4 linked regions of the Drosophila melanogaster genome follow. The protein of the gene in region 4 interacts with the protein of the main gene of each other region in a pairwise test. Each region holds a gene or a part of one and is shown on either strand. Other genes may lie near its edges.

Region 1 (7,568 bases), on a different chromosome or scaffold from region 4:
AAGCAGCCGGAGGCGGCATGCTAGCCGCATCCGCCACCGATTCAGCCGATTTGGCCTGCTGGAATATGGTAAACGATGGCGGCAGCAGCTCAGACTCGCACACCTCTACCTTGGTGACCACTTGCTCCGGCGGATGCTTCTCCTCGGGCGGCTCCTCCTTAAAGACCTTCAGACGCACCGCCGTCGCCGCCGGCAGCTTTGGCTTGCGTTGCAGCAGCTGAGACTGGGGCATTTGGAGCTGATGCTGCTGGTGGAGCTGCTCGGGCGATAGCTTTACGGGTGTGGAGGTGCCGCTGGACGAAGTCTTCTTAAACGGGGAATTAGTGAAAGCATTCGGGGGCTCGGGCCGCAGGAAAGTCACACTAAACTCCGAGCTGGAGTGGTTATCACTGGTCAGAGTGCTGGGCACGGTTGACGAGCTGGTGGCAGCCAAGTCATCGCGGCAGACGTCCGAGGATAGATTCAGCTCGGTGTTGTTCTGGGCACTCTCGTCCAAAACGCGCCAAAAGTCGGTGGAGGAGAGACTGTTACCATTGACCAGGCTGGCGGAGCTGATGGTCACGCACGCCGACAGATCGATGTCCAGCGACTCGTCCTTGATGCTCGATATCGAGTCGAAGTTGTTGATCCGCAGCAGAGAGCTGAGTATCTCGTCGTGGGCCGCCTTCGTGGGGGTGCCCGCATCGCCGCCGTAGATTTTAGGCGGCAACTTCTTGCTTGGCGCCTCCTCTTTCATTCTCTTGCCCTCGCCCTTGCCGCCTTCCATTCGCCTTGCCTTGCTTACACGTACAGGTTATGCGGTCGGCGTTTTCGCTCGCCGTATTTTGTCTTTGTTCGCCGCGCCGCTGACGCTTTGCGTTCACTGGTCGCCGTTGCCCGGTCACTGGGTCCCCAATTCACTCATCGCGATCGCTTTCGTTGTATTAAACGCGCCGCAATTGATCGAAAAACATTTAATTATTGTGAAATGCGCCTTGGCTTTGTTGTTTTTGTCACGCTTACAATTCTCGAGTCGCCATTTTGAGAACAGTGTTAGAAGACGCGCACGAGTGGCAGTCCCGCTAAGAGTGATGCTCGCCAGGCGGGTTATTAGCTATATTTAATTCACGACTGGATTCACCATTCTAAATAACATTTAAAGAGATTTCTTGACTCAAAAAGAAATCTTGTCCGACAAGGAAACATTTTACTTACCAATTCCATTTACATGTTTGTATTTACTTGATATAATTCACGATTATGTTGTATAGAAACTATAACAATTTTTTGGGCTTTTAAAATCCTATGCATTGAACATTCAAACCCTAAATATTAAAGGAAGTAGGCCCAATGATTGTGTTATTTGTTTATGTTTTTTATGTTAACTTAATAACCCACTAATTTATAATATGTGTAACATTAAACAAATTTTATCTTCTTTCATTAAGAATTATTTATGGTGATATTTAAAGTCCTCTTACCATAAAATATTTAAATTATATTTCTAGCTGGAACATGTAATTTCTGCTAGAATTTGTATGTTGAGATAGGTTCTGCATGCGCACGCCAAAAAATGAACTAGTTCGCCGAACTGGAAAAACACTGAGCACTTAGGCTATTTTCGTTATTAAATTATATTTTTTGATAGATTGTATATAATTCATTCATCAATGCTAAAAAATGATAAATATCGAAATTCGAAAAACCTCTGAAAAATATTCAAAATATAGCTATGAGTCAGTCGTCAGTCTTGACCAAACAAAGAGATATCGATATTGGCGGGACATGTATATCGATACCACGTTGCAATGTTAATATGGCGTCAGAGGGCGAAAACGTTGTTATGGAAAGTCCAGGTAAATTGATGAAAAATTACAAATACGTGCATTCCTTCGACCGGACCTAGTGACCGTTGATTAAAAATTCAGTCCTTACTAGCCCATTTCGGTAGCTGACACTGACAGTTAGCTGGAGCAGCCCATTAAAGCATTTGGAAAAAAGTGAACATCACGAGGCAGCGAACAACCCACAACACCGCGCGTACAGTTTATGTAAACCGCATGGATTAACCAAGAAAGTTAATTGACGTTTTCCAGGTCGCCGCACACGTTCTGGTCGGAAGGCCGCATCCCCGGCTGCATCGCTGCCAACCAGAAGCACCCGGCGCACATCCAAGCGGAACGTACAGGTCAGTTCATCCCACGTAGTTACCGCCTCTTCCAGATCATCAGCCAATGATGTAAACGATTGCAATTTCCAGTGTGGGTGTGGCGTTGTTCCATCCGCACATGATTCTTCTCCCTGGAGGAGCGAGTGATTACCTGCAAGGGCCAACTGAAGGCACAGCATCCACAAATGCTCTGAGAAATGCCGGGAACCTTCATTAACGACTTTTAATCCTTTCAGCTAAGTGACCACGAAGAGGAGGCCGAAGAGCAAGTGGTCATGGTTCAGGAAGAGGAGGAGCCCTTTAGAGGGACAAACACTGCGGAGGCACCTGCTTTGGAGCCCCAATTCGAGGAGACTCAGCACCAGATAGAGGATGACGTGGAAATGCTGCCAGCCGAAGCTGCTGGGGTTGATGAAAAGAGCTCTTCCTTCCCGTTTGGCACGGTGGCGGAGCTGCATTCAGAGACTAGTGATGATATTAAAGAGACACGCGGTCAGGCTGGCGTGGACACCCTACTGGCTTCTTTAGCCGGCGATAATGCCAACAGCCTGCCCTCCGTGGGTGGAAATGACGAGAGTGACAATGTCAAGAAGGCGGACTTTGAGTACAATGTAGACTCCCTGCAGCCGCAGATGGAGAAAATGAATTCCTCTGAGGACTCCAGCTCACAACATGCCATTGCCGAGGATCTGGCCGATGCGGACACCAGCAATGCAACCATTGTCAACACAGAGATAGTCTCCGAGGATGAGCTACCTCTGCCCAGCAAGCCTGAAATAAATGATGCCGAGGAAGTTTCCGATGAAGAGCTTCCAGCACCGCAGCGGGCTGAATTGCCAGAGGATGCTGAAGTAATCTCGGAGGATGAACTGCCCGCCAGTAATAACAATAACACCGCCACTGAGCCCAAGGCACCTTTGAAGCGCAAGGCGGAAAACGAAAGCGTTAAGAGCACCGAAGATAAGGATGCAAGCAGTCATGAATCAAGCACAAAGGATAAATCCTCCGAGCAATATAATCCGGGCAGTCCCACATCTGAGAGCAACGACGCACAGCCCTCAGAGAAAAAACTCAAGGTCGAAGGTAATTGTTAATCTTCCAATGACTAATTAGTTGGTAGAGCTTGACTCACAATATTTAAACCCACAGAATCGGAGCCCAAGGAGAAAAAGAAGGAAAAGGAGCGCGATAAAGATAAGGAGAAGGATAAGGACAAAGATAATAATAAGGATAAGGAAAAGGAGCGAAAGAAGCTGCCGGACCTAGATAAGTACTGGAGAGCTGTCAAAGAAGACTCCACCGACTTCACCGGCTGGACGTACTTGCTGCAATATGTTGACAATGAGGTGGTTATTTAGCCGAACGCCGCATATCTTGAACTTTAAATAAGCAATTTTCTTCTTTCTCAACAGTCTGATGCGGAGGCGGCGCGCGAGGCCTACGACACATTCCTGTCCCACTATCCTTACTGCTACGGATATTGGCGCAAGTATGCCGACTACGAGAAGCGCAAGGGCATCAAGGCAAACTGCTATAAGGTGAGTACCCCACTTACATTTGGTCGTGCAAATAAATATCTTTCGCAATTTCTTGTACTACGCTTACAATTACGATTACAATTGATATTCATATATTTGTTGTTAAATGCAATTTATTATGACCTAATAAAAATACTACATTCAATAAATGCAACATCTACCAAAATACACCAAATTGAGAAGACAAAACCAAACTTGCCATGAGACTAGTGCAGCATCCACTTAGGATCGTGTTTTCTCATAGGGTTCGTGTCTGCTAAATACTTTTTACGGGAGATGAATCTAAAAAGGGTACGGATTTAATTTTTTTAGATGGTGAAAGCTTTATGGGGGAGCTTGGCAATTTGTTTCAAAGGCTAAGCTAAGTAAATGGACTTAATGGGTCGCGTATAGAGATTGCCTCCAAATTTGTTTACGTTTCTTTAAAGTAGTTTCTGTTTTGTAACCTTAGTTACACCAAATTCATAATTTCGAGACCGGACGTCGACCTTATTTACCACTCCGTACTCCCTACACCTTAGCACTTTTTTTTTGGCGATCTTAGCCCCTGAGATATTGTCCTTAATCTTCACGACACTAATTGGACCGTTTAAGCATAAGCCACTCCTGTGTCGCACAAATCACGCTGTAACTCAGCACAGACTAGCTCAACTCTGTTGACCCTCGAACCCCAGACCGACCTGAACCCGAAAGCGACTGGTTCGTCTACTCGAAGTACGATCCGTCTACTTTCTGATCTTCGTACGTTTGTATCACCAGTTACCTCTTCAGTTACGTTACCTCCATCCTTCTTCAACACGATATAAATAGTGAGATCGCATCTCGTACAGTCGTAAGTACAAATGGCGTTTAAATGAAATTTTTAAGTCTCTTTGTGAATTTTGTTGTAAATCGAGTGCCAAAAAAGAAATCAACTACAACCTGTGTGTTATGTATTCCGTGTACTTGTTAAGTCGCTAAGTTAGCTTTTAAGCCCGAACACCATTCACATCAAAACGATAACCTTAAGTATCTGAGCACTTAACTCTTGAAATCTTACTATAAACCACGAATATATTTTTATATTTCTCTTCTGCGATCAATCAACAATAAATGAAAAAATCAAAACTTGTACCGAACATACGAAATGACCAAATCCTAGGTGTTTGAGCGCGGACTGGAGGCGATTCCGCTGTCCGTGGATCTGTGGATCCACTACCTAATGCACGTTAAGTCCAATCACGGAGATGATGAAACATTCGTCCGCTCCCAGTATGAAAGGGCAGTGAAGGCGTGCGGCCTGGAATTTCGATCGGACAAACTCTGGGATGCCTACATTCGTTGGGAGAACGAGTCAAAGCGGTACCACCGTGTGGTCCAGATCTACGATAGACTTCTGGCCATACCGACACAGGGCTATAATGGTCACTTCGACAAGTGAGTTCCACTCAAATTGGTTTTGTGAAACATGCGAATAATGTACATGCACATTTCAGTTTCCAAGATTTGATCAATCAGCATGATGTAACTATCACACTTGCAAACGAGGAGGTGATCCGTCTGCGCAAAGACTTCCACGAACGTCAGCAGAGCAAGTCCTCCAAGTCCTCGTCGAAGCATCGCCGGGACAGCAGCAGCAGCTCCAAGGACAAAGACTCAAAGGAGCGAGAACGTGAGAAGGACAAGGATAAGGACAAAGACAAGGACAAGGAGAAGCGAGAAACTGTCGGGGGCGGTGTTGGTAAGTCGCCAAAAGATACAAGTGAAACTCAAGTCGATGAATCAGATAGTACTACCGATCTGACCACCGAAAGCGAGTCATCGCATGCAGCTTCAAAGCCGGCAATGCAGATCGATTTCAGTGATCTTAGCACTCTGAATGACGAAGAGGTGGTCAGCATTAGGGACAGGGCTATCTCGGCGCGGCGCAAAGTCCACAAGTTGACCGTTAGCGCAGTGACAGCCCGCTGGTCCTTCGAGGAGGGCATCAAGCGGCCTTATTTCCATGTGAAGCCACTCGAGAGGGCACAGCTCAAGAATTGGAAGGACTACTTGGATTTCGAGATCGAAAAGGGTGATCGCGAGCGAGTCCTGGTTTTGTTCGAAAGGTGCCTAATCGCCTGTGCTTTGTATGACGAGTTCTGGCTGAAGATGCTTCGTTATTTAGAGTCTTTGGAGGATCAGAGCGGAGTTGTGGATCTGGTACGTGATGTTTACCGCCGCGCCTGTCGCATCCATCATCCGGACAAACCGAGTCTGCACCTGATGTGGGCCGCCTTCGAGGAATGCCAGATGAACTTTGACGACGCCGCTGAAATTTTGCAGCGTATCGATCAGCGCTGCCCCAATCTCCTGCAGCTTTCCTATCGTCGTATCAACGTGGAAAGGCGTCGAGGAGCACTGGACAAGTGTCGCGAGCTGTACAAGCACTATATAGAGAGTACAAAGAACAAGGGCATTGCCGGCAGTCTGGCCATCAAGTATGCCCGTTTCCTCAATAAAATCTGTCATGATCTCGACGCCGGCTTGGCCGCCCTGCAGCAGGCGCTGGAACGTGATCCAGCCAACACTCGTGTGGCCCTGCAAATGATCGATTTGTGCCTACAGCGCCCAAAAGTCGATGAGCAGGAGGTAGTCGAAATTATGGATAAGTTCATGGCTCGTGCGGACATCGAACCCGATCAGAAGGTTTTGTTTGCCCAGCGCAAAGTGGAGTTCCTTGAGGATTTCGGCAGCACGGCCAGGGGTCTACAAGACGCACAGCGCGCTCTGCAGCAGGCACTCACTAAAGCCAAGGAAGCGCAAAAGAAAAGGTAAGAAATCCATGAAGATGTATCCACACTCATTCATTAATCATGGACATTCCAATAGTGATGGCAGTCCTAGTCGCAAAAACTCATCAAGCAGCAAAGAAGGTCCTGTCCCCACAGGATCCGCGGCGGCAGCTTACAACAATGGTGGCTCGGCCGCAGCAGTCGCAGGCTACAACTATGGAGCAGCAAATCCATACTATGGTCAGCAGAATACCGCAGCAGCCTATCCCTCACAGACGCCACAACAGGCGTCCTACGACTCTTACTACAATCAGTGGGGCTACGGTTCCGGTGGGGCCAGCGCCAACAGTGGTGGTAGCGGCTACAACTACGGCCAGTGGAGCGGTTATGGCAACTACTATTAAGTTCGCTGCCTAGATGTAACCCACTCCGCCACCTGTAGCTCTAAGACGCTACGGCTTGTTTAGTTTTGCCTTGCTGCTCTGTTAAGTTGTACACATCTAATTGTAATTTTTTATCAACCCCTATTTGAGCCCACAAAATAACCCCACCATTGCGAAAAATAAAATATACCAGCTTTTTATCGGTCCACCATAATCGCGTTGCTTGTATTTAGCCAATATATGCTTGAAATAAGTCGAATTATGCCTAAATAGAAAATTAAATATACAGATTGACAGTGAGCGCGCTCTTCGCCCGGCTCAACTGAAGTCTACAGGTTGGGTCGATACCAGGTCACCTCGCCCCCGTTGCATCCGGTTACAAGGAGCGGTTCCCTGGGGCTAAACTTGGCGCACAGAACGACGTCCTGGTGTTCGGTGATCTTGGCTAGCTCAACCAGTTTCCGCGGTTTGCTTTTCACCTCCTCAAACGCCTGACATTTCGGATAGTCGCAGCAGTCCTCACTGTAACCAAAGAGTCTTACCCCATTGCCGTACGGCGAGCAGACAACCCGACCGTCCGCGGAGAATCCAGGTTCCTTGATGAAGCCCGGTTTGGTGTTGGTCTCGGCGGCATAGTAAAGCAGTTTCTTGGCATTCACCAGTATTGAATGACCGTTTTCCTTGAACGTTGGCGTTGTCACAGGACTATTGAATGATCGCAGACGCAGCCTGTTTCCGATCTCTA
Region 2 (4,628 bases), on a different chromosome or scaffold from region 4:
GGGCCAGGGCAGCCTCAATCTGAGCATCAAGAACGAGGGCAAGGGAGGCGATATCAAGAGTCCCAGTCCTTCGATTGCTCCTTCGCAAATGGGCGGGCCCATGACGCTCTCCAATCTGGCCGAAGATCCCTTGCTCTACTGGCTCAAGTCGCAGCAGACCATGTTGGGTCTGAATCCCCTTTATCCGCCCACAATTCCCATGGGCGTGACCAGTCCCCCTATCAGATCTTCCACGCCGCAGCACATGAGTCAGTTGGCACAGACTCCGCCGATACCCTCGGCTCCGCTAACACCCTCGTCCACACCGTCGGGCAGTCTGGACGAGAAGAACGCGGCGTGGTACAACTGGTGCAAGGCGTTCGGTGCCAGTCTGCATACCCTGAATCCCAATGCCGCCACCTTGGCCGCCCTGCAAGCCAACCAACTGCAGCAGCAGGTGGCCACCACGGCCGCAGAGGGGGGATCCATGGGAGATCCCTCGAACATACTGTACTCCCATCTCACGAAAGAGACTGAGACGCCGTCGGTGAGAAGTTTGTCCTCCAACGAACAGAATCCCGAGGCTGACGAGGCCACCGAAACCGATCTCGATGGCGAAGTGGAGCCGGAGGCATCCGGGAAACCGGAGGATCTCTCAGCCGCCGGCAAAGTGATGACCCCTTCGCAAAGTCCCATTGCCCATTCATCAGGCAGCAGGAGTCCCGAACCAAAGGCGAAGACCAAAACCCCAGAGACCACGAATTCCACAAGCGAATGCAAGAAGATCCTAGACAATATGCTCTTCAAGATGGGCGGAATGGAGGCCACTGGTCCGTTGATGCCGGAACAGGGATCCTCCGAATCGGAGGGCAGCTTCCAGGACACCAGCAATCCGCATACGAACAACAACGATGTGAGCGCCAGCAATAACAATAACAATAATAACTCAAACAAAACGGACGAGGAGGAGAAGGCCAAGTATCTGGACTGCACGGCGGACGAGGATATCGAGGCCATCCGCCATGGCGAAAAGTTCCTGCAGTGGCTGGAGAATTGCAGCAATCCCCGCGTGACGGCCGTGCAGCTGATGCAACTTCGTTTCCTAATAGCCGCCATCAAGTCGGGCAACGAGACACCGATGATCGAGAAATCCGCTTTGCCGGAGGACAGCGAGGAGCACGCCGCGGAGGAGGAGGGCAGTGGGCGGGGCAAGAGTCGCCGTCGCAAATAGGAAAAGCCAAAGTTGGCGCCCACGGAGCCAGCCACGGATACAGAGATAGAGGATAGCCCAGACGGTGCTCTGCACGATGCAGAGCCAGGACCCGGTGTCCTGGCTACAGATGCAAATGCAGATACCGCCGAGGGCTCGACGAGGTGCCATGTCTATGCGCCGGCCGTCTACCGATCGTCGGCCACCCTACTCAGCTCCCTGTTCTTCCCTCCCTACGAATTTGTACATTGTGACCTCGACGATGACCCCGACGACTGCCAGATCACGGGCGAGTACCAGCAGTACGACGAACTGAGCTCCAGCAGTTAGACCACATGGTTCCACGCATCCGGAGGACTCCACTGAATTTATCTCCTAGCTGTGAAACCTATCGAGCATACTTTCAGTATCTTTCAATTCAATTCGAATCCACTCCATTGCATTGCATTGCATTGTATTAATTAATTAATCGTACGGTTAACGTGTATATATCGAGAAACTCTATTTGTAGCTATTATGCATTTCTTTTTGAACGGAAAGACAACCGACTCTGTTTTGTTAGTTTGTTTTTTCACCCAATGATGCATTCTAGAAAAATGTTATAGCCCTTAGTTTTTGTTACGAAAAAGAAAAAATACTTTTCGAACTGCAAGGTGTGTTGGCGCGAATGGCATGCATTTGATATCAAACGTTTTTAAATTTCGTATATTAATAACTATGGAAATGTGCTCAAAAGAATTTTCTTAATTCGGAATTAATGCGATATTTAAATAAAAACATTTACAAATTTAAATGTAATTTTAAATACATGTTCAATAAAAAATAATTAGATAATTTTTATGAAACTCTTAGAACTGTCGTCGTATTTACTTACCGCTGTCGTATTGGAGGGTCTAAGTGGTTTTTCATATATATCTACTAAAATACCTAAATGTTTTACTTTTATATTTACAAGTATAAATTGCCTTGGTCAAGTTATTGAACATTTTAGAACGCATAAACTTTTAAATATATTGCTACATGAGCTCGGAACATAAGAATAATGGATATGTGATTGGTTCAACTTTGCCATAATAGACTTACCAAATTTATGGGATCCTGCAGTGGCTCATACTGAATGAAATCGGCGACAAACTTGGCAATTTCCTCGACACTTGATATGAGTTGCGTGTAAATAAACGCCGTTGGCCTGATGGTGGTGCAAACGAATTTCTGTAAGTTGGTTAAGAGTGGCAATTTATCAAAACGCTGGCCACTAAAGGAGCAGATGGTGCTGACTTCACCTGTACTTTGCATTCGTTGGGCAGGGCCAAGACCATGGCTCGTCTCTTTGGGTAGCTGAGAACCAATTGCTTCCGGAAATTCTCAGCGTACAGCAGGAGCAACCGCTCCTTGGGCGAGAGGGTATAGTACGATGGAGGATAGCACTGGGGACTGTTTTCGAACTCCTCGACTGTTTCGGGAAAGGATAAATCGATCTTTCCGATATTGAGCGATGGTTCTCCTTCGGATAAACTAAATTCACTAGATCCCATTTCCTCCATTTCCGCCTCGAACTCGCCCTCCATTTCATCTGCAAAATCCGATTCCGAACCTTGCGAGCGCCTCTGCTCGTCGATTTCCTTGAACTTGGCGCTATAGCGACTCGGGTCGATGTTGCTCACCACCTTCTTGTACTTCTGAAACAGTACTTTCGGCATTTTGGCGTGGTTACAATTGCCGGCTCTTTAAAATAATAAACAAGAAACTTCGTTTCTATAACTACGGTGTTTGTAGAAAAATATATATTTTAACGGCTAGATGTGACAGAAATTGAAATATGTATTGTGTTGTGCTAGTCTGTTCATTGTAGCAAATAAAATATATAAAAATTGTAATTTGCTTAAAAAACTTTCGTAATTCTAATTAGTTTTGTGTGGGTTTCGCTTGAAATAACTTCTTATAAGAACGAACATTTCCTTCTTCCGGTTGAAAACTTTACTTTACATTACTTTACTTCCTGATTCTGGTTTGCGTCTGGGCTAAATAACCGTTGTACTGGTTTGTAACTGCTTTGGCATTAGATTTGAACTTCTTTACCCTGCTTCGTATATCAATTTCTACTGCTTTTTTCTCGGTTAAGTGTCTACATGTAAAATTGAAGTAGGGTAACAATTTTACCCAAAAGTCTTTTTGTAACGAACATTTTTAAAATAGAGCAAGCAGGTTGTGAATAGCATATGGCCATCACCTTTTAGCAAAAGAATAGTAGTAAGCTTCATGTCATGAAGAGAATAACTTTAAAATTGACATTAGTATTTTTAAAATAGTAGGTAAGCCCTTGAACGATTGATTACCTACTGCTTTTTAGCCTTGAATATTAAGGCATAGCTATATTTTAAGAAAATAAAAAACTATTTAATTTCCATTCATTTCGCTAGTCATTTTCAATTAGCTATTTTTTCAATAGCTATTTTCTATAAAATTTGATGGAATGTATCAAAGTTATATTTGTATTATAGCACAGAAGGCACAAAACTTCCCTACTTATAAATATTTGGTAAATTGTATGACAAGTCACATATTTTAAATGTGAAAAATTGATATAATATATAGAACTACTTCTTCACCTTGTGCATTTTTTGTTGATTTAATTTAAATAAAGCTAATTCCACATTCAACCTAATCTTTTCCCTGGTTACCTACATACATACATATGTATATTTCGACTAACTTTATTTATTGTCATTATGCATATTACATAATTACCCGTCGAAAACTCAATGCTGGTCTTCCGCAGCTGCAGTGGCAGCGACAGTGGCAATGGCTTACTTAGATGGCACATTTTTTAGGGACCACCCCCTTGTCTGCATGCACCACAAATTGCATTTGCATTATTTATATTGCATCAATAAAACCCGCATTCAGGAATAATTAGCGAGCGCAGAACTTGTCGATGAGCAGGAGCGGAGACCAGCGGATTGAGATCGGCGCAGTTGATCCGTTTATGGCTGGCGCTAGGATTTATTTGTACTTCCTTTCGCATTTGAAAGGCGAGCGTCTACCTGGTGAGCCTGGTGAGAGCGGTACATTCATGAAACCATTTGGCGCTTTTAAGCGACTCAATTACGCACTTTGATTCCCACATTGGCCGCTAGTAGTCGCCTGTCGTTGGGTGTCGCCTTGCTCTGCCTCGTCCAGCTTGGTCCTGTGGCAAGGACTGAGGACTGGACGCGGTCTACCTGGCCGCCGTCTGAGGCAAGATGCGTAAGCACTAATTTTTGTGTGCGCTCAGTTTGCCGTTTAATTGCCGCGGCTCGCGCTAAGTGTTCCCTAGAAAAACAAAGGCAGGCGCTGCGCGTCGGAGGTTCAATCAAGCACATGTCGTCCTGGGCTGACTCCTTGGCCAAAAGTGGTCCTTGCGCAGGCGCCCCGGATGTCTCGAGTGTCAAGCGCCTTT
Region 3 (4,721 bases), on a different chromosome or scaffold from region 4:
TAATTATACTAATTGTGATTTATATATTTTGGCAAACAATTTCGTCATTAAAAGTTCAAGAACTGATAAAAATAATTAAGTAATGCCAGTCAGAGTGCAGCGCTAATTAGTCATGTGCAGCGCAAAGCACATATGAAATCGGCCAAAATATATACTAATCTAGATAGCCATGAATGGCTACATATTAGTGTGCGCGTTTTGTGTGAGTTTTTGGCTTTGTGCTCAGATAACTTTCATTCGGATCTCACCTCCGCTGACCCCAAAAGGCACTGGGCGATACCAGACCATAATCCGCGGGCACATCCAGCAGGCGGGGAGTCGAGGAGCCAAATGCGAAGCCGATGGAGTTTCTGTCCCGTTTTTTCACTTCTATCCGGGACTCGCGTTCCTGTGGATGATCAAAAACAAGAATTATAATAGAAGTTCATTGGAATCGAAGCGATAACGCACGCACCTGATTCTTTTTGAGGATGTACTCGCGGCGCTCCTTCTCGGCCTCGAAAATGGCCTTCTTGCGCTCCTCCACCTGGTGGCGCTTCTCTGTGTCCCGGGTACGGATCTCCTCGATGCGTCGACGGCGCTCCTCCTCCTTTTGTTCACGGTACCGCTGGGCGGCCTCCGCCTGGGCACGCAGTTCCTCGATTTTCCGGTGGCGCTCCTCATTTTGGCGATCGCGGGCATATTTTAGTTTCTCCTCACGGTCTTTGGACGCTAAAAGCGTAGCAAAATGAATAGAGATTCGAATTCGCACATACTTATAAGGGCATAAATTGAATTTGGATAAACAAGTTACGGTTCGCAAGCAAATAAAACTGGGAATATTTTCATCAGTTGCTACCTGTGGCCCAACAAAAATCGATAAATATCTGCTTAATATGTGTAGTATTATACCCCATTTTTCGACTTTTGCCGGCGAGTTATTTACATGAGAGCCGAGAGCTGACGTCATCGACAATGTACACTCGCATTTTGTGGGTCAATTGACAAACTAGCAGCAGCAACAATAACAAATATGGCACAAATACTCGGACAACAATACCGCCGCCCCCGCTTCAAATTTGCCTATGTGCAAAATGGGCGAACAACAAAAAAAACAAATGATAAAAGGAAAATAGAAAGCAAATTGCTAATGCAGGCGCACATTTTGTTCTATTGAAATGACATTGAGGCGGAAAAATGCAAAAAAAAAATTAACAATAATAACAATAATATTGGTAGCATGCGGTTTGGCTGCCAAAGTCTGCATAATCGAACTGGGAACTGGTTCTTATCGCCTTATCGGTTAAGATATTTTTGGAATTCCATGACGTAAGCAAGACGACAAAGGAACAACTGCAAGTCAATCTTTTTGCCAGTTACAGGTGCGAAAATATCTTGCAAATGGGAAATTATCAGCTGTCAAGGTCGCAGGCAAAATTGCTGGATTTTAACCCACTGTATGCCATATTTACTTGTGTTTTTGGAAAGCCAAAAACATTGCAATTGATTTTTCGCTTGATAAAATCCATTTCCTTTTTGCTCTCGTAATAACATGTAGTTCAATTTAACTTAACAAACTTTGAGAACATTGTTATTAAGATCAAATTCCCAATAACTTAATCATTCCTTGTTTTGCATTCTCACAATGATTTAGTCAAATATGACTATACATATTTTTAAAATTTGTATAATTAGAGTTGGACTTGCCATCTAAAATCAAGCTAGACCTTAAGTGTAGATAACATTTTGATCTTTTAGGTGTTAATTGAAGATGCTTTGAGTTTTTAATAACCCACTTTAGTGGGTAACATCTAGACAGTTTAGAAACTACAGTGATTTAAAGCGTGTCACTGGGTGAGAATAGATAAGAAGATTTTCTTATTAGAAAAACAGCTATGAAAGACTTGCAATAGACCAGTGACGGTTAAAATCGCGATAAGGCGGACTATGGGTCTTATTTGTTAGTGAGATCATGCGGCAAACATTCGGAGCATTCGTTTTGGAGGCGGAACAGAACGGGGCGTGGCTGTGGAAGACTTTGGAGCAGCCTGAATGGAATGCCAACTACCTTGAGAGTCGTCTTCACTGGCGGAGATTTGACCGCCCACCTGGGCGAACCAATGCAAGGTTGCGCCGGCGCTGCAGCCCGAGATCTTGGCAGGTGCGAATGCGTGGGCTGTGGTTCGAGTTATAGGTGATGTTAAAGCGATTACATATAGTGCGTATGTGTGATATACATTGGTGCCGATTTTATGTAACTCGCAAGATAATCCGCATAGAAGGCTTACCTTTTCGCTCGGCGCTGCCCTCGCGACTTTCGGGTCGCTTGGCTGTGTTTTCCACTGCAAAAGAAGTACGAGAAAAATGGACGATTGAGTTTCGCTGCGATTTTCCGGAGTTTTACACGGACTTTTGGCTTTCGTGTGTGGGGAAAATCAATTGCCGTTGCGTTTTGGCAAAAAGGAAAGGTGACAAGAAGGCGAAAGAGCGAGGAAGGAGGGGGACACAAAAACACACACACACACGCACGAACACAAGCGCACGGCAGCAGCTGCGATGACGAAGCGAGAGAGACAGTGAGAAGTACGAGAAAATAATGTATGTTTCCCTCTCTCTTGTTCCAACGACTTTTCCGACTGGAACTTATTTATAAACTCAAAACTCCGGTTCGGAATCGGGGAACTCGAAATACATATATCCCCCATTTCTAGGGGGCAGACACTTTTGGCTTCTCGGCTTTTCTCTTCTTTTCTTTTCTGTGCCTCTCGCCTCGCTGTTTTTTTTCTTCGTTTTTCTCTCTTCACTCCGTTTTTGCTTTTTGGCCGTGGTGTGAGTGCCGTTTTGCTGCGCAGTCGACCAGCACTTTTTGGCCACTGAAAACGCCCCGAAAACGCGTAGATCCTGGCCGATTTTCGACGCGGGGGCATTCGTCCTTCGATTTCGCACTCTCAGCGGGTTGTTTTCAATGCGTACCTTCTGGATTAGTCGAAATATTTCCGTGTTGGCCCCCAAGACTCGCCATATTTCACTTTACTTTAGCGCTGCAAACAGTGTGGCCAGCTCTGTAGTGCTGCGATAATCTACTTAATGCGACCGTACTGTTGTATAGTGGTGTGCTCTACGAAAATACTAGAAATGTTAACTAACGTATTGGTTTTTATGTATAAAAACTAACTCCGGTTTTATGTATAAAAACTAATGATCATTCGGTCCTATAAATACATTATCTAATGTTGTATGATAATTTCAGCTTCCGATACCAAGGGCGCAATAATTAACACTCCATTAGGGACGATATGCTCTAAGTGCGCTGACATAGAAATTAACATTAATCTGTTAACTAACGGTGCCCAGTTTAAAATTTAGGTACACTTGTATTCAATACTGAAAAGGACTTATTTATCTCCAATTTTATTTATCTCTGAGATTTCTTTAACCTATAGTTCATATTAAATCTAATGCTTCTCGGCGGCAATGCAGAGTTTGGCCAGAAGGGCGGTGAGCTGCAGCAGCGAGTTGATACCATCGATAATCTTCATGTGGGTGATTCCGATCTCACGGATAAAGTCCAGCTTCAAATGCTCATCGATGTTGATGCGCTTGCAGACACGGAATATGTTCGCAATGATGTCCTCCGGCGAGTATCCCAGCTTCCACAGCTTGGCCAGGATTTTGTAGGCCTTGTGTATGTCGTTAGCAGCGCAATGGTGGATCATCTCCTCTAGGAGCTTTGGGTGCGGCTCGTCGCAGACCTTAAAGACGTTCTCAGCGGTGATGTCGCCAAATCCCTGAGCGGTGGACTGCAGGTTGTTCAGTCCCTGTCGCATATCACCTTGGGCAGTGAATACGATGGCCTCAAGTCCGTCCTCCGTGTAGTTAAGCTTCTCCCACTTGGCCACCTCGATGAGCTTGGCCAGAACTTGCGCATCGGACAGCTTGGTGAATCGTAGCATGGCGCAGCGGGACTGGATAGGCTCTATGATCTTCTCGCTGGTGTTGCAGGCCAGGGCAAAACGAGTGGTGCTGCTGTAGATCTCCATGGTCCGGCGCAGTGCCTGCTGGGCACCCTCCGTCATGCTGTCCGCCTCGTCCAGAATCACAATCTTGTGCCTGCCCCGCGGCAGTGTCACCTTCTGCTGAGCAAACATCTTGATCTTGTTGCGGACCACATCGATTCCTCGTTCATTGGAGGCATTCAGCTCGAGGACAGCCTCCTTGTAGCTGTCTCCCAGGAGAATCCTGGCCAGACACTGGATGGTGGTTGTCTTGCCCACGCCAGGAGGACCCTATAGATCACAATTAGTGGCGCCAAACTAATTTTACTCCTCACAAACTCACAGCAATAATAATATTGGGTGCATTTCCCTGGGTGGCGAATACGGATAGTCTTGCTACGGTATCCTCATTGCCCACTATCTCCTTGAACTTCACGGGGCGGTACTTCTCAATCCACGGCAAGTGACTGCGCTTGTCGTCCGCCGTTTTCTCTGGTTCTTCCGGCATTTTATGTGCAATTTCACAAATTCGCACAAACAAATTGAAGCGTGGGGCTGTAGTGTGGCCGTTTCTTGGGCGCCAAAACACAACGGTTAGGCCTGGTATTTTTTACATTTATCGATTTCTTAGCAACACCGATAGGTCCATAAAGGTAATTATTTGAAATTCAAATATAAAAAAAAAACGTTCAGATCATAAAATATTCTGTAAATGAGGAAAAGAACACACGCTCAACAATATATAAA
Region 4 (3,684 bases):
AGTGGTCCACTCCATTGATCCCGTTCTCCAGTGGTGACGGTTCCGTTTCCGCCAACAGCTGCCGGAGCTGCAGTGTTGAATCCTCGCTCTCCGCATCCGAATCCGATTCAGAATCGGAGCCACCACTGGCGTCGCTGCTGCTACCGTCGCCATCGCTCTCGTCCTTCGATCCGTCCGAGCAGTTGTCGATGTCCGGCAGGAAGTCGCTATCCGAGGAACTCTCGCCCAAGTCAAAATCGAGCAGGGCCTGCGTAGTAATCTTCGGCTGCCGCGCTCGCTTCATGATTCAACGCTTATTTAGTCCGCAATTGTCTGCACAATCTCCGAAAGTCTCGGGCCAAGGCAGAAACTATCGACAGTCGATAGGCCGACATGGCGATGACACGGACAGAATAGTATTCCGTCTGTATATCGATAAAATACATCTGTTGTAAGGATATTAGGGATATTTTGTAAAAATGTATCCTTTATTTTGAATCCTTTGTTAAGAAATGTAGATTCAGGAGCATAAAAGTTTATAGCAGGCTCAAAAACAATAATACGCTACAAGTCAGGCTTTTATATTTTTTGCTTATATCTAAGCTGTAATTATAGTAAGCTATAAATATAGTAGATAAGTATCCTAAAAGACTTCCAGCTGCTCAATGGGCAGCCACTTAGAGCTCTCCAGAGCATCGTACAGACGGCGGTCGGCATCAATGGCCTCTCGGTTCAGTTTGTCCACATCCAGGACGAACTTGTGCTCCACCAGTCCGTTCTCATCCTCAGCTCCATTGGCGGCGGAAGCGGTCTGCTGCTGCTGCTGCTGCTCGTACTGGGCGCTGCGTTGTGCGCTCCAGGCCTCGGCGTGCTGGGCCAGAGTCTGCGGATTAGAGTGCGACTGCGACATGGCCTGCTGGTAGTATGCAGCCGCATCTGTGATCGAAGCACCGGCCTGCTCGTAGTAACCTTGCCAGGCCTGGTATCCCTGCCAATAGGTGCTGGTGGGGTCGTAGTACTGCGAGTAGTCGGTGCCACCTGCTGCAGTCATACCGCTTCCATATCCATAGTTTGTGTTGCCTTCGCCCACAGCACCACCCAACTCGGATTTGGGTTTGGGCACGGCATTGCAAATCTTTATGGGCTTGGTACCCAATCCGATGTACCCGTTCATGTCGTACAGCGCTGATTTCTGCTCATCCTCGATGCCAAATCGCACAAAGCCGTAACCCTTGGAAAACCCCAGGCTGTCCAAGATCACCTTGGCGGTTTTGATCGATGTGAACTTGCTGGAGAACACCTTGTACAGCTGATAGTCGTCCACGTCCGAGCTGAGGTCGCCCACCCAGACGCTAAATTCGCGTTCATTCCCGGGCAGCTTGTACGAGTTGCTGGCCGAGTTAAGACGGAATCGCACAATGGGATTGGTGCCCGGAATGGGCTTACCGTTTAGCTTGTGCATCGCGTCCAGCGCATGGTCATCGGATATGAAGTTGACGAAGCAGTAGCCGGCCGGTTCGCCCGTGTACTTGTTGCGCATCAGGCGCACCGTGGTGGGATCTTCGCCCATCTTCCGGAAAGCGGCGATTATGAAGTTCTCCGTCATGTAGGACTCCAGCTGAAATGGCCATGCGGGCTTAAAGGGTCATGTGTCTGGGGTAATGCACGTTGCTACTTACGCTTCCCATCCACAGTTGACAATGCACGGACGCCATAATTGTTCAAATACGTGTTCAATTGAATATTTTCCAGAGACAAATGATGTTTACCAAAACAAATGAGTGACTGGCCGTCAAGCATTTATCGGTATTTATCGATGTGGGCCAATCAAATGCTGACCTGGTGTCAGCCAAGACAATTGCCTTGGTTCTTGTCTTTGGAATGGATATTCAAACGATGCAACTAATGGTTCGCGTCTCTGGTGAGTTAGACGTTATTTTAGTTTGAGCCAAAAAGTAATTTGTTTTTAAAAAACAATAATACCAATATGTAATCCAAGACAGTTTGACAACCCTGCGTAGTACCGACATTTAAATAGACTTACTTCCTGAACATTTCAAAATCGCAAAAGTGGTGCCAAAATGGGTATTACTCTGTTCCGATTGGCCAGTTTTACTCCAAAACTGAAGGAGCTGCGAATCATTCTGGATCCCAAAGGAGACACTTCCAAGGGAGTCAGGTGAAATTGTCATTTTCCGCTTTTAAATTATATAATTTGCTAAAGCAGCGTTCCTTTACAGGGAATACGTGGAAAGGTTCTATCCAAACCTGAAGAAGAGCAATCCCGACCTGCCGATCCTCGTGCGCGAGTGCTCTGGCGTCCAGCCCCGCCTCTACGCCCGCTATGGTGAGTAGATTAGCATAATGTGCGCTGCTAGCTTCCCCCACATCGATTCCCATGTCCGCAGGCAACGGCAAGGAAGTGTCCCTCTCCCTGGCCAACCACGCTGCTCCTGACATACACAAAAACCTGGAAGCGGTTGGCAAATAGAACTTACGCTGGAAAACTATGTAGATTAGGCGCAAAATAAAGGCAAAGCCAGATGCTTTATGCACACATACGTATACGTGTATATGGGATAACATTTACACTTAAATTCATTTTCTTGGTAGGTACATCGATTTCCAATTACAGCAATAGCATCTTTTAGCTACAAAAAGTACGTCAGCCATTAAGTTCAATCCGTGAAGGCGGGCAGCCCGAACTGCTCCGGCTTGAAGTCCGCCAACGAGGCCAGCACTTGTGTGGCGTGCGAGGTCTTTTCCTGGGACAGTCGTGGGTCCGGCACCATCACCACCTGCATTCCGGCGCTGTTGGCAGCCGTCACGCCGTTCGGCGAGTCCTCGAACACCAGGCAGTCGGACGGTTTGGGCGGCACACCGAATCTGCCGGCGGCCACTAGGAAAATGTCGGGCGCAGGCTTGCCGTTGACCACCTCCTTGTCCGACGAACCGCACACCTTGTGGTTAAACAGGGAGAACAGCTCCCGATGTTGGGCCGTCTTCAGCTCGACCATGTCGGCGCCGGAGCTGGTGGCCAAGCAAAAGGGTACCTTGTTGGCGTGCAGGTGACGCAGCAGGCGCTCAGCACCTTGAACGGGGAAGGAAGCACACGATTAACAAACGGCTTTAATCACAGTAGGATAGTAATTGAAGCAGAAGTATTTATAGGGAGAAATGCCGATTAGTTTTCTGGTCGTGGTGCTAACCTTCCAGCAGGGGTACGTTGTGGAATCGCTCGTGGCACATTTGCGAGTACCGCTTGAGATAGTCTCCGGTTGTGATGGGCAGCTGGCACTCGGTGATGGCTATCTCTGCCGAGCGCTGGTCCGTGGTGCCCATTACCCGGAAACGCACTTCCTCCGGATACGGGCGGCCAAAGGAGGCGGCTATTTGCCGGGTGACCTCCTCGTATATCCTCTCCGTGTCTGAAACGTGACGGCAAAGCGAGAACTGGGATTAGTACCTGGCATCAACTGGGCGTTCCGCATCAGGATCTCGGTGTTGGCGCGCTGCTGGCGTGCGTACTCCTCCCACGACATCGGCAGCTCGTAGTGCTCGACCATGAACCGGGCCAGCGGTTCCGTCTGCAGGCCCATGACCTGCTCCTTGATCTCAAAGGGATATGTCTTGCCGTAGGGCTCGAGGATCATTTCGGTGGCCACAGTATAAAGGCGTTCGGTGTCTGTTCGGCAAATAGTTAAC

The links.
Region 1: the proteins of Secp43 (region 4) and Prp39 interact in a two-hybrid assay, tested with the Drosophila melanogaster proteins (one large-scale study listed by BioGRID).
Region 2: the proteins of Secp43 (region 4) and lobo interact in a two-hybrid assay, tested with the Drosophila melanogaster proteins (one large-scale study listed by BioGRID).
Region 3: the proteins of Secp43 (region 4) and ens interact in a two-hybrid assay, tested with the Drosophila melanogaster proteins (one large-scale study listed by BioGRID).

What each region holds. Positions count from the first base shown.
Region 1 is NT_033777.3:28,810,320-28,817,887, forward strand, and holds Prp39 (pre-mRNA processing factor 39), read left to right. Parts: upstream 1-1,782; 5' UTR 1,783-1,795; coding exon 1,796-1,835; intron 1,836-1,845; exon of another isoform or gene 1,846-2,075; coding exon 2,076-2,167; intron 2,168-2,248; exon of another isoform or gene 2,249-2,322; intron 2,323-2,385; coding exon 2,386-3,232; intron 3,233-3,298; coding exon 3,299-3,495; intron 3,496-3,561; coding exon 3,562-3,687; coding exon of another isoform or gene 3,688-3,891; exon of another isoform or gene 3,892-4,828; coding exon 4,829-5,103; intron 5,104-5,162; coding exon 5,163-6,479; exon of another isoform or gene 6,480-6,537; coding exon 6,538-6,844; 3' UTR 6,845-7,035; downstream 7,036-7,568. Other genes in the region: wdn (wings down), read right to left, coding at 1-766; CG1523 (uncharacterized protein), read right to left, coding at 7,153-7,568.
Region 2 is NT_033777.3:25,190,766-25,195,393, forward strand, and holds the start of lobo (lost boys), read right to left. Parts: upstream 3,012-4,628; 5' UTR 2,890-3,011; coding exon 2,473-2,889; intron 2,402-2,472; coding exon 2,273-2,401; intron 2,042-2,272; exon of another isoform or gene 1,520-2,041; coding exon of another isoform or gene 1-1,519. Other genes in the region: dan (distal antenna), read left to right, coding at 1-1,210. UniProt on the Drosophila melanogaster protein: Key component of the nexin-dynein regulatory complex (N-DRC), essential for N-DRC integrity. Involved in the regulation of flagellar motility. Involved in sperm motility. Required for the sperm to enter in the coiled storage seminal receptacle (SR) tubule.
Region 3 is NT_037436.4:4,131,502-4,136,222, forward strand, and holds the start of ens (ensconsin), read right to left. Parts: upstream 3,050-4,721; 5' UTR 3,002-3,049; coding exon 2,953-3,001; intron 2,322-2,952; coding exon 2,268-2,321; intron 2,156-2,267; coding exon 2,048-2,155; intron 712-2,047; coding exon 455-711; intron 389-454; coding exon 249-388; intron 1-248. Other genes in the region: RfC4 (replication factor C subunit 4), read right to left, coding at 3,435-4,265, 4,318-4,482.
Region 4 is NT_033779.5:4,452,669-4,456,352, forward strand, and holds Secp43 (tRNA selenocysteine associated protein), read right to left. Parts: upstream 1,786-3,684; 5' UTR 1,695-1,785; coding exon 1,659-1,694; intron 1,598-1,658; coding exon 623-1,597; 3' UTR 501-622; downstream 1-500. Other genes in the region: CG15439 (uncharacterized protein), read right to left, coding at 1-283; ND-B8 (NADH dehydrogenase (ubiquinone) B8 subunit), read left to right, coding at 2,061-2,158, 2,220-2,326, 2,388-2,470; Gs1l (GS1-like), read right to left, coding at 2,658-3,070, 3,446-3,664.